2 linked regions of the Rattus norvegicus genome follow. The protein of the gene in region 1 interacts with the protein of each later gene in a biochemical or structural test. Links are inferred from orthologs where the notes say so. Each region holds a gene or a part of one and is shown in the gene's direction. Other genes may lie near its edges. The genes, in order: Gabbr2 and Kctd12.

Region 1 (3,809 bases):
GGCGTTACCGGGTCAAAAGGAACAACCCCTCTTAGTATCCACCCACATCTTCCAGTGCAAACGCATCCACCCTTTTGATGTTGTGACACAGTGTTGGCCTCTGCAAAGTTCATGCTCCAGAACCAACTGTTAACTCAACTGGGTTTTTAAGACTCACACACAAGACAAGGCGTAGTTTCAAGTGAGCTTATGGTTGTGTGCTGGGCAGCATTCACTGCTCTCAGCAGCCACGCGTCCCCTGTAGGATACAGCTGTCACACCAATCTAGAGAACCGGCTTGAAGAGATATTTTGCAAGCATTATTCTTTGCAGCCATGAATAAAGAGACTTTAACCTCTCAGGGCCCTGTGCAGCCTGACCGATATATAAATCTTTAAAAATTGAATATATTAGAAAAAAGAAAAGTAAAGCTAGCAAGATGAGTCAGAGGCTAAAGCCCTTGCCACAAAGAGCTGACAACCTGAACTGGAGCCCTGAAACCACAGAGACGTGGAAAGAAAGAGTCAGCCCCACAAGCTGTTCTCTGACCCTCATGTGCATACCTTGCTATGTGACCACACAATGATAAAATAATAACGATAGTAATAAGGGTGATGATAATAATACCCCTCCCCTAAGTTCCTCTGCCTGTGCTGGGTTTCTCTTCTCCACTGTCCCTTCAACCCGACCCCAACTCCCCACCCCATTCCAACCCCTCACCCACAGCACAGCAGGTCCTGGTAGCCACTCCTGCCTGAATCCCTCTGGCCGATGACAATGAAGTTCTTCTTCACACCTACACCCAAGGCTAAGGAGTCCTTATAGAGGTTATGGAAACTCTACTCCTGGTCTCCAGGGCTAAGCCCAGAGCCCACCATGGGCTAGAGAAGATTCTAGAATGTGTGGATAAGGTTAGAGTCATGGGGCAACTTTTTTGTCTCAAGTTTTTTTCCCCCAGTGGGGCTGGGAAGGTACTACAATAGTTGACAGCCCAAACTGCTCTCACAGAGGGTCTAGGCTCAGTTCCCAGCACCCAACTGCAGCCCCAGAAGATCTAACTGCCGGCCTTCACCCCTGCCTGCATTGCATGTACACACATAAGCACCCCACATATATGCACATACACATGCATCATTAAAAAGGAAGTAAAAATCAGCTTCAATTGCTCGATCATGTCCAGACCCCTTCCCCACAGAACCTGTATTATAACAGATGTGAGGGGTTTTGAGCTGCTACGTGCCTTTGCCAGGACAAACAGGTCAACAGCTAGTCTCTAACTCACCCTGGAGTCGTCTTCACCGTCTTCCATTTTCTTGTTGTAGAAACTCTCCACAATGGGATCTTGCCCAAGGTCTTGGACTGCCTCTGCCCCTCTGGTAGGGTATGAATGAGCCAGTCAGAAGGCTGACTCTCGTATCCCAGAAGGACTTTGAGGCTCAGTGACTGGGAAGCTACCTGCCCACGGTCATGCCCAAGCCTGTGCCAGAGCTCAGCGTGGGCCTCTCTGGGGGAGGGGGTGGCCTGTCAGTTCGGACTTGGTTGGGGAGAGAGAGGAGCACTGCAGGAGTCTCACCGCAAGCCACCTCTGTCCCTTCAGCTCATCACTCTGAGGACAAACCCTGACGCAGCCACTCAGAACAGGCGGTTCCAGTTCACACAGAACCAGAAGAAAGAAGATTCGAAGACCTCCACTTCAGTCACCAGCGTGAACCAGGCGAGCACGTCACGCCTGGAGGGACTGCAGTCAGAAAACCACCGCCTTCGAATGAAGATCACAGAGGTGCGCCCACATCTGGAGGCTACCCATTCTCCTGCCCAGGTCCCTTCCTGGTCTCCAACCCATCCCTGCTCCATAGTTCTCTAGAGCACCCCAGGCCATGGCAGCAGGGAGCTAAGCACATCTGATCCAAACTTAGTGCTAGGAGGACCCTATAACTCCCATGGTAAAAGGGTGCAAAGATAGGCTTCCCCAGAGATGGCTGTGCTGTGGCTAACCTGTCCCCCCATTCCAACCCCAATTCCCTCTCATTCTCAATTCCTAGGGTTCTGACTGGACCTATACCTGGGCTGAGTCAAGTTAGGGTACTGGCCAAGCAACAGTAACAAAGGTTTCAAAAGCAAGTAGCCCCAAAAAGGAGGCTAGAAAGGGAGGGCCATGAGCTGGAGGCCAGCCTGGGCTGCATAGCAAGGCTCTGTCTGAAAAAAGAAAGTATATTGCTTCTCTCTTACTTAGTGGACTTGAGGACTGGGGTCACAGCTGGGCAGGGTCATTTGTGGGCTGTGGCTTCTCTTCTGCTTCCTGCCCATTCCCCAGGCTCAGTAGGACAAAGACATGGCCTCAGTCTCAGGAAGAAGAGACACAGAAAGCCCACATAAGGGATTACCCCGTAAGCAAGTGACACACACACACACTCACACACTCACACACATACACACAAGCATGCTCACACAAATACACACGCATATTCACACACATACTCTCTCACATATATGCACACACACATATATACACTCATACACACACATACACACGTATTCTCACACACGCTCTCACACATACACATGCATGCTCATACACACACACACACACATACAGACACGTATTCTCACATACACGCACACTCTCACACATACACACAAACACACACACGTTCATACACATTTCTCTCTCACAAACACACTCACACACACACACAATTTGCTTACGGTTTTGTTCTGTCTCCCTGTGCTGCCAAAAATTTCATGAGCTCGTTTAGCCACAGAGCACAGAGGAGCCTGGGAAATGTAACCTCTTGCCAGACACTTGCAGGGCAGAAGCTGGTTGCTAGATTGCATATGGAACGACCAGCTAATTCTGAATTTCAAATAAACTGCCAATCCTGTTTTCAGTAAGTATATGAAGGGGCCTTGGAGTCAGCACAAAGATTACTCCCCCAGAGGGACAAGCTAGGGGCTGCCTCTGGATCTGGCAAAGACAGCAGCAGGTGACTCTGCAGGACTAGTTTTTAAGGAGAAAAGGGCGAGTCTGTTCTAGGATGAGTTGGTGGATTCTGATTGGACATTTTAGTCAGAATAGCCAAGTAGTGAATTTTGATTGCTGGACTTTGGTGTTTTGATAGTTGGACCTTAGTGTTTTAGACAGGTAAAGGAAGTGCCCAAATCAGGCACCAGACCTTTAGAAATGTAATCTAACGGCTTAACAGGGGGTGGGAGGAGAGAGGTCAGGGCCCAACAACACCAGATTTGCAAGGCTTGGGCCTGTTAGAGATCCCTTTGGTACACGACTTACCAAGTGCAGGCTGTACCTAAACTGCAAAGAGGGCTCTTGAACTGCACTGGACTTCTCTGTTTTTATTTGCTAGGTCCAGCAACCTCTGTGGGGTTCACAGACCCCTGCCATACAGGGAGCCAGCACACTCATTCCACGCACCGGAAATGCTTTAAGATGGGTGCATCCTGCACCAGCTTCTGTGGCAATGAAAGCATCAGCTTTTGCCGCTCCGAGCCCATTGCTAGTTCATCAGACTCTATACCAAGTGACAGCACAGCACTGGTCTAAGCCTTCCACTTCCTTCTAGCAGTGTAATCACCCACTGCTGAGAGCCCCAGTGTGGCTTTGCTTGCCCTAGAACTGAGCCTCAATCGACGTCCCATTGGACAGATCCTCGGCTCCCAGCACTGCCTCTATGTAGCACAAATAAAAATAGGAGGGCTTTTTTCATTCATGTAGAAACTTATTAGGCAGCAACTTGGCCCCGACCTCAGAAGAGTGATTCAGTTACTAAATTCCCTTTGTGTTCTGTACCCACTAGCCACCCCAACTTCCACTG
Region 2 (4,577 bases), on another chromosome or scaffold:
TCATCTGTCATTTATCCCAAGGAACAGAATAAAAATGGTGAAACATATTCAGTATCAAAAATCTGTGCCTGCAATTAAGCAGGCTGGTCTGGGGCCTGATTTTACTTCAGCTCTGTGGCATGAGTCGCAGTAATTGCTTGGCAGACATAAACATTTGCAGAAATGAAAGTGACACTCGTCCGTGAGAAGACGATCAAGCTCATTGGACAGTCACACAAAGGGTAGACATCGTTATTAAGACAAAGATCTTTCTGGGCTTATTGTGATTGACAGCCTGTCCTTCAAAGTGATCTGATAACTGTTCAGATGGTCAACCCTTTGCCTCTTGGCTGCTCGAAAGGAGATGTTGCTATTCAGCCTTGAATTCTCCACAGCCTGATGCCCCGCAATGCATAGGAGCATTTATTAACCTCGTGGTTTCCTGGAGCCTCCTCTATCCAGGGCTCCTTGAACCCTTTACTTATTTATTTGCCAAAATCAGCGATCAGATAACACTCCCACGTGCCACGTGCAGAGATGGAAATTTGAAGAGCAACCTGCCTCTCCCTCTGCGAGAAACACAGAAGGCTTCCCGGCGGAGGCAGAGTTCTGTGGACTGCAATTTGTGCGTGACTGCAAACGCTGAGCTAGTAGGAGACCATAGAGAGCAGGGCTGGACCTAAAGGGCCTTCAAACACATCCTCTTCTCTGGTGGGCGGTCTGGCCAAGCACAGAAGAGAAAGACGGAGGGAGGAGAACACGGGCTGCTGGACTTTTAAAATAGCTCTTCGGGGCTGAAAGTCATTTTTTTTTTGTATATGTGCATTAAAATTTCAAGGAACAAATAAAATATTAGTAGAATTTTAGTAAAATAATTAGATACTAATAAAATCAGTAAAAGAAAATATTAGATTGGAATTTTCTGGTGAAATTCACAGAAAGGAACTGGATGCCTCGCAGTCCGCTCTTGGAGGCACTTAGTAGTTTTCATGGCGACGTAGTACCAGCCCCCCACCTTTTGTGCCCACCCAACTTCCTCTCCTAGTCATTTCTGTACTATGTTGAAGTTTCCTAACCAGAGACTTTATGCACTCGTAAAATAATCTAACAGAGCATTTTCGCGAAGCATCCTCTTGTGGTTGCTAGGGATTTTTCGAGGCTATACGGTAGTCACGTGAAAAACCTTTGGGTGCTCTGGGTTTGGAGGGACCCCCGCGTCCCTTCAGAACTTCCAGAGCCCCAGGGATGGATGTTCTACAGCAGCGCTCTGCACTGTTAGAAGCCTGTAGGTCTAGAGGGCGCTAGCCGCAGGCAACCAAGCTTTTCGACTCTGCCAGAAAGTTTCCAACCCCTTCTGGAGTCCCCGGGTGCGGGCTGCGGTCAGCCGAGAAGGGCGGCAGGAGGGGAGGTGGGGACACAAGATGTTCGCTTTAGAGAACAGCCTCCTGGGGAAGCGCCGAGGCTCTGACCCACTGCGGAGGAAGAAGAGGAGCTGGGTTGGGGCGGGCGGTGACAGCCGGGTCGCCCCTCGGAGCGCGCGGGTCAGGGTGGAGCCTGCTGCCCGGAGCCGCGTCAGCGTTTAGCATGCAAATGCATTCCCCGCTCCTCCCCCACCCCCACCCCGCCCCAGCCCTCCCCGCCCCGGGAGCGAGCTCAGCGGCTCCGCAGCCGCCCACGCCTCCTGCGCGCCGCGGCGCCCGAGCGGGCGGCTCTACTTAAGCGGCGCGCGGGCCGCGACCCGCCACTCGCCTGGAGCGCGCGGGCGAGGCGGGCGCAGCGCACCGGGGCTCTCGTGGGCGCACTGCTGCGCGCTCGCTCCGCGCGGCTCTCCGTGGCCAGCCGCCGCCTGAGCGCAGGGCTCCCGGGCTAAGAGCCGCTGCGGCTTCTGATCGCGACCCCGCTCCCTGCCACTTGGCACAGCCCGGCCACCTCTTTTTGGCCATGGCTCTGGCGGACAGCACCCGAGGATTACCCAACGGGGGCGGAGGCGGAGGTGGCAGCGGCTCGTCGTCGTCCTCAGCGGAGCCGCCGCTCTTCCCGGACATCGTGGAGCTGAACGTGGGAGGGCAGGTGTATGTGACCCGGCGCTGTACCGTGGTGTCCGTGCCCGACTCGCTGCTCTGGCGTATGTTCACGCAGCAGCAGCCGCAGGAGCTGGCCCGGGACAGCAAAGGCCGCTTCTTTCTGGACCGGGATGGCTTCCTCTTCCGCTACATCCTGGATTACCTGCGGGACTTGCAGCTCGTGCTGCCCGACTACTTCCCGGAGCGCAGCCGGCTGCAGCGCGAGGCCGAGTACTTCGAGCTGCCGGAGCTCGTGCGACGCCTCGGGGCGCCCCAGCAGCCCGGTCCGGGGCCACCGCCGCCGCACTCGCGCCGCGGGGTGCACAAGGAGGGCTCACTGGGCGACGAGCTGCTGCCGCTGGGCTACGCGGAGCCGGAGCCGCAGGAGGGCGCCTCGGCCGGGGCGCCGTCGCCCACGCTGGATCTGGCTAGCCGTAGCCCGTCCGGGGGCGCGGCGGGCCCCCTGCTCACGCCGTCCCAGTCTTTGGACGGCAGCCGGCGCTCGGGCTACATCACCATCGGCTACCGCGGCTCCTACACCATCGGGCGCGACGCTCAGGCGGACGCCAAGTTCCGGAGGGTGGCGCGCATCACCGTGTGCGGCAAGACGTCGCTGGCCAAGGAGGTGTTTGGGGACACCCTGAATGAGAGCCGGGACCCCGACCGGCCCCCGGAGCGCTACACCTCGCGCTATTACCTCAAGTTCAACTTCCTAGAGCAGGCGTTCGATAAGCTGTCGGAGTCAGGCTTCCACATGGTGGCGTGCAGCTCCACCGGCACCTGCGCCTTTGCTAGTAGCACCGACCAGAGCGAGGACAAGATCTGGACCAGCTACACCGAGTACGTCTTCTGCAGGGAGTGAGCTCCCCACGCCCCTCGCCACTCCGGAGCCCACTTCCCTTCCTCCCCGCGGGGGATAGGATTATAGATACCCTCGCTCCTTCCCTGTCTCCCCATTCCTTCTGCCCCGCCCCCAGGCCCCCAGTAGCTCGCCCAGACCCGTCTGCTCCCCACTTGAGAATCTGCAGCCACAAATCCTCTGGGCTTCTTCGTCTTCTTTGGACCCCACTAACCGAGAGAGTGCCCAGATGTAGCCCTTCACTCACGCTTCCTCTACTCCGGGCCTCCAAACACCCTTCCCCCCAGATTGTCGTGATCTAGTGGGGCAGTGCGGGAGCAGTCGCCAAGTATCTGGGAATGACTGAGTTGCTCAGACCCCGACTGCACGGTGTCTGGCGTGCAGTGAGGACAAGTCCTTGAAATCTTAAACCCTTTGACTCCATAGCGGTTTTCAGAGATCAGAACTGAGAGCGCTGTGTGGAGACAGTGTTTTAAAACGTTGTTACGGACTTGATCCTCATTAGAAAGATAAAAGTTTTAGACAACCGAAAGGAAAACCGTAAGTTGGAATTAAGACCCCATGGAGGCAGTTCAAAGACTGTAAATAAAGTGCTTTTTTTGTTTTTTAAAGTTACAGGTAGAAGTAAATTCTAGTACTGGCAATAGATCTCCTGTGGCTTAAAATTGTAGAAAGCAATCCTCCTGCCTGCGGAGGCGCCCTTTCTCTTCAGCTACTTGCCTGAGCTCTAGGTTTTGTTGGTTAAGTCAGTACTTCTAGGCTAGGAGCAAGGAGCAGGGGGCAAGGTTGCCTAGGCCCGCGGTGACCAATTAATACAGGAATGGTTAGTAGGGTCAGACAGCCCTTACTTAGGTCTAGGACTGTGGGAGGGTTGGGGAGGGAGGAAAGAGGGGAGGAAGGGCGGGAGGGAGGAGGGGACATACTCATTTATTATTTGAGAGTTGGACGTTTGTATGATCCACTTGAGTACGTGCACATTTAAAAAAATATGAAACAGTACGTGTAAACTTAGATTTTATCAAGGTTAGTAAAAGACCTATCTTCAGCTGGAAGTCTATCGAGCCATTTTGAGTCCTAAACTTAGTTGCTAATACCCGTCTAACCTAACCAAAGAGTTACCTAGTAGAATTTTAGTGCTTTGAACATTTATTTTCTTGTTGGTTGTATTTCCTCATTTTTAGCCTATTTACTTAAGCAAAAATAAGTTCGATTTTAGTTACTTAGACTTAAGATCTCTTACTATTATTATTATTAGTAGTAGTAGTATTTTTAAATTGCTGTTTTCTGCAAGCCCAGCAAGTGTGGACTCCTAGGCAGTTCTGAAAACCGGAACAAGGCTCGCTCGCCCTTTCATGCGTTTGCTTGACGTTGCAGTGGAATCTGCTCCTGTCAGAGCTGAAGACAAACGGAAGCGCCCTGGGAGCTGCCCATCTGTAGAGAGCTGTGAAGTGGGATGTTCTTTAAATGAAGGCAAACAAATACTTCAGTGTGGGCTGAGCAATAACGCGGTGTTTTAGGTGAACGCAGCAGAAGCAGGAGACCCGGTTGCCTTACGCCTTTAGTCCCACGTGGAATGAATTCCCAGCGTGGATCCTGTGCACACCACAGCCGGAAGGAGGTGAATCCGTACGCTTCCTGCTGACAGGCATCTTTTGGATGATCTGTGATTACGGAGA

The links.
Region 2: the proteins of Gabbr2 (region 1) and Kctd12 form a complex in vitro, tested with the Homo sapiens proteins (2 studies listed by BioGRID). The link is inferred for Rattus norvegicus from reciprocal best matches to the Homo sapiens genes GABBR2 and KCTD12.

Annotation. Positions count from the first base shown.
Region 1 is NC_086023.1:65,755,052-65,758,860, reverse strand, and holds part of Gabbr2 (gamma-aminobutyric acid type B receptor subunit 2 precursor), read left to right. Parts: intron 1-1,576; coding exon 1,577-1,759; intron 1,760-3,809. UniProt on the Homo sapiens protein: Component of a heterodimeric G-protein coupled receptor for GABA, formed by GABBR1 and GABBR2. Within the heterodimeric GABA receptor, only GABBR1 seems to bind agonists, while GABBR2 mediates coupling to G proteins.
Region 2 is NC_086033.1:86,217,871-86,222,447, reverse strand, and holds the start of Kctd12 (BTB/POZ domain-containing protein KCTD12), read left to right. Parts: upstream 1-1,722; 5' UTR 1,723-1,920; coding exon 1,921-2,904; 3' UTR 2,905-4,577. UniProt on the Homo sapiens protein: Auxiliary subunit of GABA-B receptors that determine the pharmacology and kinetics of the receptor response. Increases agonist potency and markedly alter the G-protein signaling of the receptors by accelerating onset and promoting desensitization.